Schizosaccharomyces pombe: one gene and its partner. The gene in region 1 interacts genetically with each later gene. Each region holds a gene or a part of one and is shown on either strand. Other genes may lie near its edges.

Region 1 (4,754 bases):
ATCACATTATTGTATTGTTGTTTTAAGCATGCCATTTTTTCGTACTGGAGCGCGTTAAAGATCTGATAAGCAAAACTTTCAAGATTTAAGAAGATATGTATATATACTTTAAGATCACCATAGCTAGTGTGGATCATTCTAGTGTGTATTTTAAAAATGGCATATTCCATTTTGTTTACTCTACTTTCAAATTTTTTTTTTTTTAAAGTGGGTCATCACTACAGAAATTATTCAATGAAATATATCTTCTGTTTTGTAGCTCAATGAAAACTCATAATTATATAAACATATTTCCTTAAATTCCACACTCCAGTTGCCTCATATCCATAATGTGATTTTTTTATGTCTTGTTTTGGTAAAATCTCTGATTGTGTGTGGCTTTTTTACCTAGCTATTAAAATTAATGGTTCGGTTTTCAGATTCGGACTTAAAGTCATATCAAAACCCCTACCCATTTTTCTAGCATTTCCAATAGTGGTTTACCAGCGCAACAACTCAAACAGCATCTCACTCACAAAACCATATGATCATTCATCATCTATAGCATTTAAATTAAATTAAATTAAATTAAATTATTAAAGCATCATTGCTTAATGCTTTATTTTTCATTTGCGCGCTAACTGATTTTTATTTATTAATTGTTCTCACTGCTTCTCTATATCTCTGTCTTGCATACAACAAAGGAAAACACAATGTGACACAGTTTATACAAAAAAAATCATTAATAATTCATAATATCATTAGAATCCTATAAAATGTTTTGTTGTTCAGGTATATGTACACACACTAAGTGAATTTAAAAGAATATTAAACGAGAAGGGTTCAAAGCCGCCCGCCATAGTTAACCAAAAGTAAGCAGAAACATTAATCTCAATTAAAAAAAGTAATTTTGTACGAGTGTCGACTTTTGTTTCACTATATTTTTTTTTTGGAAATTTGTTTGCTTTGGAGATTGAAATCATCCAACGTGAAGCACTTATTGGGTTTAGTAAGACTCGCTCTCAATTTATTTCCGTAAGTGGATCACGCTATTAAATTATTAGGGGCAATCACTCTTTGTCTGCGGTACAAATCTAAAACAAACGAGGGATCCCCATTTTCGTGTTGCTCAAAATATTTTATTAAGACTTCAAAGGCCATGGCAGCCTCCACGTTTGATATTTGAGGCTCCACGTCTTCTTCCTCATCCGACTCAAAGCGTCTCTCCTCCAGAAACTCTGCAGCAACGGTATCCACAGCATCTTGATGTAATTTGGTTTCATCTTCTTCAGAAGGTCTAATGTATTCATTAATTTGCTTAACAGCTTCGCTGCCCTTGCTTGAAATCAGATTACCAATTTCCATAATGGCCTTTTGATACGACTCCATTCCTTGTCCTTCGGCCTCGGAATGTGGACCCAATAATCCTGATCGGAGAAAAGATGCTTGAATAGTCTTTTCACTCACCCCAAAATTCCAAGACCAAAGCATCCACCGAATGGCTTTTAAAACATTAACGGCTTTTAGAGGATCTCTCAATATGTTGATTTGATTAAGGGAGTATTGCAACCAGTATCTTCGATAATTCGCTTTAAATGTATCGACTATTCCTTGTTCAAACGGAGACTTAATGTCCAATGTTTTTTCTGGAATTCGAAATACAGAGGTGTTCTGAAAACCACCTTTAAACCGTCGAACACTTTCAACACCGAACTGATATGTGTCATTGCTCTCTAACATCAATAGGACCTTGCGTCCTTGCATACGTGTGTCAAACCACCGAAGCCATTCCTCCATAATAATTGGTGAAATTGAAGCTCGGCCATTCCACTTCCATTCGAAGTTCATACTTTTAGGGAAAATACCGCACTGCTCAAAAGATCTTGGGTTTTGTGCATAACCCACGATCCATAAAGGTAGTCGTTCTGACCCATCGGCATTGCAACACATAATTAAAGACACTTTGGCTTTTCCACGCTTCATTCCCTGGATTTCCTGATAATCCAAGTTTTGTTTATTAGGAGTGAGTTTCCAAAAAAGGCTTGTCCCTCCAACGCAAAATATATCTTTTTGGGCATAAGGCCGTATAAACTCTTGAATATGAACTGGGTATTCTCTAAACACCTCAAATTTGATGGATTCCAATGCCTGATTTACCGCACTTTGCTGGATATAATGTCTTCTTCTAAATTTATCCAACCAACCATTGCTAAAGTCTGGTAATGGGAGAGAAGCATACGCCGGAATTTTCGACCAAAATCGAGTAGCAGCTTGTTTGATCATATCCCCTGATATAGGAAGGCCTTCAACTTCTCTTTGTTGCAACCATTCGTACACGGCATTGTCAAGCAAAGGAAACTTTGGAGCTCGAATTTTTTTAATATCACCGAGTCTTACACTTCCATCATCTAAATAACTGTATTTGGGTGAAAGAATTTCGGAAATCGTTGACTGCGATAAATCTTTATTGTACGTTTTTCGAAACCATTCTGTCACTTCCTTTTGAGGAATTCTATGGGCAGATTGGTTATAATAATCTCGAATTGCCTTTTTCTCTGCTAAAGAGACGGCCTGGCGTATAGGAGGCATTGATTTTCCTTAATACTTACTATGCCGATACTTTTCCAGACCGATATAAGAGTATAGCCTTGGATTTATACAATTATTTTATGTTGTAGTAGATATCGGAAATAACGGTGAAAAGACGAATTCTATCCTTGTAGGGTTTAAGAAGGTGAGTACTACTAGTGCATCCTTCTGCCTTGCACCCTATATAATCTAAGTGCAATATACCGAACCTATTGTTAATCTGTAATAACAATGCCATTGGAGATGCTCAAATTATGACGTTCAGGTTAATATAGCAAATTTGCGTATCTTAACGATTTTGTCAGTAAGAAAAAGAGAATTCAAGAGCAAAAAATAGGAGAAAGAACGACATGAACGCTGTTAGAAACCGTTTAAAATCAATTCTCATATATGTTTTAAATGAGAGTCTAATTGAATACTTCCTCAAATTTCATTTCTGTAGCACACCTCTTCTCACTATTAAACAAAAATGTGTAAATAAATAAATGTTCCTTGGTATTGTAACAAAAATGGCGATTCTGAAGTTCATGAGCATTTTCCCTTCTCTTTCATTTAATAAATTCTCGAATTTTCAAATAACATAATATGTAAGTTCTCAGTTTTGGTGTAATTACTTTTAATTCCAATATTTCCATTCATAGTTCAATTCATAATACTTACTATCAAGTCTATTTCAATAATGTATGTTACACGTGTGATCCAATGTTTAAAAATGTAGAAGTAAATTTATAAAAGCAAAGCCAAAAATAAAGAACAAAGCTGTTTAAGCTAGTTACGGTACGAAGAGTAGGTGTTACTTACGTTTGATTCATTATTATTAACAGTAGAACTAATTAGTAAGCATCGTCTCAAAGAACCATTAGGAAATTCTTACAGCATACGGTACCGTTATCATATAAATAGCAAGCTTTGCATACCTAGCAGCTTAGTTTTTCCAATATTATTCGCTTAAAATTGAGAATACACATTTGATATTTACAGAGTTAAGCATTTTTAAATTAAAGTTGTGAAAAGATGCCTATCGTTAGCGGATTTAAAGTCGGACCTATTGGCTTTGGTCTTATGGGTTTAACCTGGAAGCCCAAGCAAACTCCAGATGAAGAAGCCTTTGAAGTAATGAATTATGCCTTATCCCAAGGCTCCAATTATTGGGATGCGGGTGAATTTTATGGTGTCGACCCTCCCACCTCTAATTTAGATTTATTAGCTAGATATTTTGAAAAATATCCCGAAAACGCTAATAAGGTGTTTTTATCTGTCAAAGGTGGTTTGGATTTTAAAACACTAGTTCCTGATGGAAATCCGGACTTCGTGTCAAAGAGTGTTGAAAATGTGATAGCTCATTTACGTGGGACCAAAAAGCTAGATCTCTTCCAATGTGCTCGAGTCGACCCAAATGTTCCCATTGAGACAACCATGAAGACATTGAAGGGGTTTGTGGACTCTGGAAAGATTTCATGTGTCGGCCTTAGCGAAGTTTCTGCTGAAACTATCAAACGTGCTCACGCTGTGGTCCCCATTGCTGCAGTCGAAGTCGAATACTCCTTGTTTTCTCGTGATATCGAGACAAACGGTATTATGGATATTTGTAGGAAGTTATCTATCCCTATTATTGCATACTCTCCTTTCTGTCGTGGCCTTTTGACTGGTCGCATTAAGACTGTCGAAGACCTTAAAGAATTTGCTAAATCTTTCCCATTCTTAGAATATTTGGACAGATTTAGCCCTGATGTTTTTGCTAAAAATCTTCCATTCCTCCAAGCTGTCGAGCAACTTGCTAAAAAGTTTGGTATGACTATGCCCGAGTTTTCACTTCTTTTTATAATGGCGTCTGGAAACGGTCTGGTCATTCCTATTCCTGGCTCCACATCTGTTTCTCGTACAAAGAGCAATCTCAATGCACTGAATAAATCTTTGTCTCCTGAACAATTTAAAGAGGCCAAAGAGGTCTTGAGTAAATACCCAATCTACGGGTTACGTTATAATGAACAGCTTGCGGGCACTCTTTCCGTTTAAAGTGCTGAAGTTAGTCGATACTCTTTCGCATTTCAGTTTTGAAATGCATATTAAATATAAACTTATTATATGCTAGCCTTACTTAGGTATTCAGTAATGACAATTTATTTACAGCGAAAATGTTAAATCATTTGTTTATAGAGTTTGGCTTGTTATTACCGATTTCTGCT
Region 2 (5,001 bases), on another chromosome or scaffold:
ACCTCTGCATTTCGCAAAGGATGGAAGACTGCGTATCCTCAGCAACGACTTCTTGAGCTGATGGTTGAACAAGGAGCGCAACTCACTTTATCTGACGATAGTCATGGACCACATCAAGTTGGCTTGAATTATCATTTGGCCAAGTCGTATCTGGACAAATGCGGTATTACAAGCCTCTGTATGATAGAAAAGGGCCCCGATGGTAATGGCACGGTGGTTAAAAATGTTACGGTCGACAATGTTTGGTCTAAATTCGTTGGCACAAACGGAATAACTAACACATAGAAGTAATACAGTTTAAATTTGTTTCCGTATTGGGGCCATTTTTGGACTTGAAATTTTTTTACAAGGGAAATTCAAAAGTACACTGTTTGGTCACCTGAAGTATAGTAACTAGCTATTCACCATATTTCAATCACTTCGTATGAAATGGCCGGCAAAGCTTTTGTTGTGGTGGATGATGATCCCATTTATGAGGAGCTCCCGTTTAACAAGACTGTTTGTTTTACACGAGTACTACGATGTCTCAATATTTGTTCCACTTGCACATGAACTATCGATTGCTACGATACATAGATTTCTGTCGCTTAAAATTGTATTAATTGTACATTAACTCAATTGAGTAGGCCGACTAATGGCCAACACTACTGAAACCAATTTAAGGGAAAAAACTATTCTAAATAAGAGATAACCATGATGTGACGTTACAAGCAAAGCATGGGTGGGACCATTGGGCTTTCGTCAAGCTTCAACCGAAAGTGCAAGGAGGATTGCTTGCAAAACATATGACAGTACCTGTTTCAAGCTTGTTTGAAGGGAAGAACGATAGTCGTACGAAATTGGGATAAAGCACGAAAGCAAAAAGGACAACGAATTAGTGCGAAAGGGAAAGAGGGCAAAGGCAAATAGCGGTGGAAAGCGAAAACAAAGCAATCACCGAAACTGTTTGAAGGAGGACAAAAAATAAAAAAAAACAAAGAATTTAATATGTCCGGATTGAAAGAAAAAAAAATCAATATTAGTTTAATAACGGAAGAGACAAGAAAATGCGGAGAAAATAGAAGCAACCCAACTAGCGCACATACAGAAAGGCTTCGTTGCCTTTTTATTTGGAAAGGGGCAAAGATACCTACGAGGAAGGAAGTAACCAGCTTTACCGAATGATTCGCCTTGCACACAACTAGGAAGAGGGAGAAATGAAAGATATTTACATCAAGCAGACCGTCAGTCAAAAGTAAAGAAGAAAAAAAATTTATATTCAACCGCTCAACATAAGTTAAACAAGGATTGAGAACGAAATTCTCGAAGAAAAGAGGTTGTGTGTTCACAGGTAGGAGGAGGATGGGCGGAAAAGTTGGGATTAATGGTCACCAAGATTAGGAGAGATGCTAGAATGGAGACCGCCACGAATGGCATTCATATTAGCGCCCATGTTGGCACCCATATTAGTGCCCATGTTAACGCCATGGGGAGCGTAAGCAGAGGGAGGCTCGAGCTTGGACAACAAATCGTTATGATCGAGAAGTTGTTGAAGGCGCTTATTTTCGGCAAGAACTTCATCCATTTTAGCATTTACCTGCATTAATTTTTCCTCATTATCGTGAAGATGTTTGGAGAGAAAGTTGACCTTGGCGACAAGCATGTCGACGTTTTGTTGCTCTTCAGTGAGCTTCTTGAGACGTTCATTAATTTCATCATTGCAATCACACTTGCGCTTGCCAACCAAGAATTTTTCGCGATACTGTTGGAGCTCGCTGAGACGGGCCTTCCATTCATCGCAAAGTTGGTCGAGCTCATCCTCTTCGGGAGTGGTCTTCATGCCGGGTTGACGATGGGCCAAACGCTGTTCGTAGACGCGCATGATGGAGATGATTTGATTGCGACAGGCGGACTCGGTATGAATAGCGAGGCCCTCGTCCTCATAACCGATACGGGCGATCTTGGCGTAAAACTCACTAGTTTTACGGTCGACGAGTTCGTGCTTGTGACGCACGACTAAGCGCATGAGCTTGATTTTTTCCTCCAAGGACAAGTGAGTACGCTGTGCCTTGGCGGGAGAGGAACTGGGAGATAACGAAGCATTCTTTCGTTTATAGCTCTTCAGTTCCATCTTGGGAGCTTCCATAGAAAATAGGGGATCCGTCTTGAATAATTTATAGGTGGAATTTGGATTCGATTGTCCGAAATCCAAATTGCCGCTAGGGGAAGAGTGGTGTATAGTTAAAAAAAAAAAAGAGAAAAGGAAAGGAAAGGAAAAGTTGTCGCAGAAAGCTTTTGCTTTGGATATAAAAGGAGAAGGATGAAAATCGACCTTTTATAGAAGAAAAGCTAAGTGAGAGGAGGAGAAAAACGAGACGAGATGGAAAAGCAATCGAATCGTATAGGAGGAACTAACAAGATAGTAAGTATACTATGTACTAGACGAACAGTATAAAAGCAAGGTAAAAAAACAGAGTCGAGTCGAGTCAAGTTAAGCTAAGCTAAGCAAAAGAAAACAAAGCAAAGCAAAACAGGAGAAGAGTATATAGTAGAATAGAAGTTTGTAGTAGAGGTGAAAAGACGCTTCCAGTCGTAGACAAGTAGAGCCAAGCTGATCTGACTGGTGAGTCAACACAAGTAGAAGAGGTAAGAGAGGTTTTCCAACAAAGGCAGGGCAAAGCAAAACAGAGGAAAGCAATGCAAACCGATTTTGAATGAAATTATTTAAGGATCTGAACGAAGGCAAGTCCTACACGACACTGCAATACGATGGAGAGTGTGTTGGAGGTGTTGGTAAAGCGTTCGTTGGGATGCGCAGCGAGGTAAATAAGATCGAGTGCCACCAAAACGCAGGCACGGTCGGTAATGATGACATACGGTATCGCTGGTAAACGGTCACAACGAGGGATGGGGAGAGAGCCAATGAAAGCGAGGAATAAGGAGGGGCGCCACATCTGGAACGTGCGATAGCGATGAGAATGGAAAGACTAGCAACGATGGTGGCGTCATGTGGATTGCGTATTATTGGATAAGGAGGTGCTGATTTGCCGGCTCCCAGGAGCGGAATTAGTGAGATGGAAGAGTGGGTGGAAATGTGAAGATAAGAAAAGATTGCACAAACGAACAAACCCAACGTTCCAGTGGGTTAGGGGAGTGATGAAGGGGGGGAAGAGGGATGCCCGCAGAGTAAAGCAAGGAGGGAGAGGGAGGGTATTAGAGGAGATAAGGAGATGAATCATAGCGTTGTAATTGGAATAAGGAAGTGAATCAAGTGTAGTAATTAGAATAAGGATAAAAATCACTTTGTAGTAATTAGAATAAGCATGTAAATTACATTGTTGTAATTGGAATAAGGAAATAAACCACAGTATAATAATTAAAATAAAGTATGTTGAAACTTTTTTTTTCTTATTCTTAACATTCCTTATTGTGCGCTTTTCTCTTTCCTTTTCTACTCTAGGGCTTTCTTCCATACACTTTTTGCAGTGTGGACATTCATTCGATTGCAGTATGGTCGCCACTTTTATAGCAGAGAAAAAGAAAGAGAAATAATAGAATAAATAAAAGAAAAGAAAATAAAAATACAATCAAGATCAAGTATTTTTTTTATTTTTTTCTTTCTTTTCTTTCCTTTCTTTTCTTTTATTTAAACATTGTTAGACCACACTTTGTTTCACCTAAATGCATCATTGCTAGCAATCGACAAAAGTTGCTGTAAGCATTTATGAATATTGGTTGATCATTCTGATTTTCAAGAGTTTCATTGAGTAATCTGAGGTCGACCCTTGAAATGTATGGTGTTGAGTCTGTATGGATTGCTAGAATTGTTGGTACCATTCGAATTGTTTCTACCTTGTTGCAACGAAACAAAACTTGGAGGGGGAAGCAAACGAAAAAGAGAGTAGGAAGGAGTGCAGTAAATGAATAGGGATGTAGAGGGAGAGACAGTAAAAGACGACATAGAGAGGCAGTAACCCGAATAAGGCTTTAGAAAGAGTATACTAAAAATAAATAAGACTATAAAAAAAGTGCAGTAAAAAATTAAGAACTTGGAAAGAGTCAGTAAACCGATTAAGAATCTAGAGGGAGAGCAGTAGAAAGAGTTTTGATAGAAACTAAATGATTCAACTCGCACACATATATATATGTAAAGTAAAATATACAGAGTGTGAAATGATTTACATGAAAACACTTGTTGGGTATTGTAATAAAAAACAATTCGCAGGTAAACAAAGAATAACTAAGAATCAAATGAGCCACAAGTTTTCTATTTATTTAATTTTAACTTGTTTTTTGTCTGACAACAATATTATTTTCATTTATTTACTTGTTTGTTCAAATTGTTGTAAACAAAGACTAATTTAGTGATTACTCTGGGTGAAAGAATGAGCAATGCAAAATAAAAAAATAAATAGAAAATAAAAAAAATAAAATAAAAATAAAATTGATAATTAAAAATATAAAAAATAAAATTAGGAAAATAAAATTAGGAAAATAAAATCTTGAAAAAATTCACTTTATAAAAAAAAAAAAAAATCAAACTAGAATGCATTTTGTAAAGGTCTTGTATTTGTCATCTCTTCAACACTGCAAACGTCGCTTCAGCATTTTCCCTGTATTCTACCTGAAAAAACAGTATATACAAAATTCCGCCCTATCAAACACATCGTATCCTCTACAATATCTCTACTTGGCTCTTTTCCACTTTAACATTACAATCTTTCTGCTGCTTGCACATTTAATATTTCTATCTTATTTCGTTAAACGATCATGAACCAAAAATACAACAAAGCGTGCTTCCAACACAAGACATGCTTCTAACGCAAAGCGTACTCTAACAAACGTGCTCCAACACAATGCGTGCTCTTCACACACACATACAATCCATCTGCCTTCTCATCACTCAGATTTCTCCAAGCTCAAGACATCCCACTATCCTCCTCTACCGTCACCGTTGCGTTTGCCGGGTATGCACCTTTGCAGTTTTCTGTACGACATGACTCTTCCTTGCAACAATGTCCT

The links.
Region 2: of cbh1 (region 1) and sap1, a mutation in one rescues a mutant of the other (synthetic rescue), as found in Schizosaccharomyces pombe (one study listed by BioGRID).

The regions. Positions count from the first base shown.
Region 1 is NC_003424.3:4,458,202-4,462,955, forward strand, and holds cbh1 (CENP-B protein 1), read right to left. Parts: upstream 2,678-4,754; 5' UTR 2,569-2,677; coding exon 1,024-2,568; 3' UTR 719-1,023; downstream 1-718. Other genes in the region: pyridoxal reductase Plr1, read left to right, coding at 3,583-4,584. UniProt on the Schizosaccharomyces pombe protein: Binds to centromeric K-type repeat DNA and ARS3002 DNA. The CBH-binding consensus sequence is Py-Pu-A-T-A-T-Py-Pu-T-A.
Region 2 is NC_003421.2:560,993-565,993, forward strand, and holds sap1 (switch-activating protein Sap1), read right to left. Parts: upstream 2,775-5,001; 5' UTR 2,126-2,774; coding exon 1,361-2,125; 3' UTR 584-1,360; downstream 1-583. Other genes in the region: SPOM_SPCC1672.01 (histidinol-phosphatase), read left to right, coding at 1-285; gud1 (guanine deaminase), read right to left, coding at 4,899-5,001. UniProt on the Schizosaccharomyces pombe protein: Binds to sequences required for mating-type switching. Makes a simultaneous contact with both the alpha and beta domains of the switch-activating site SAS1.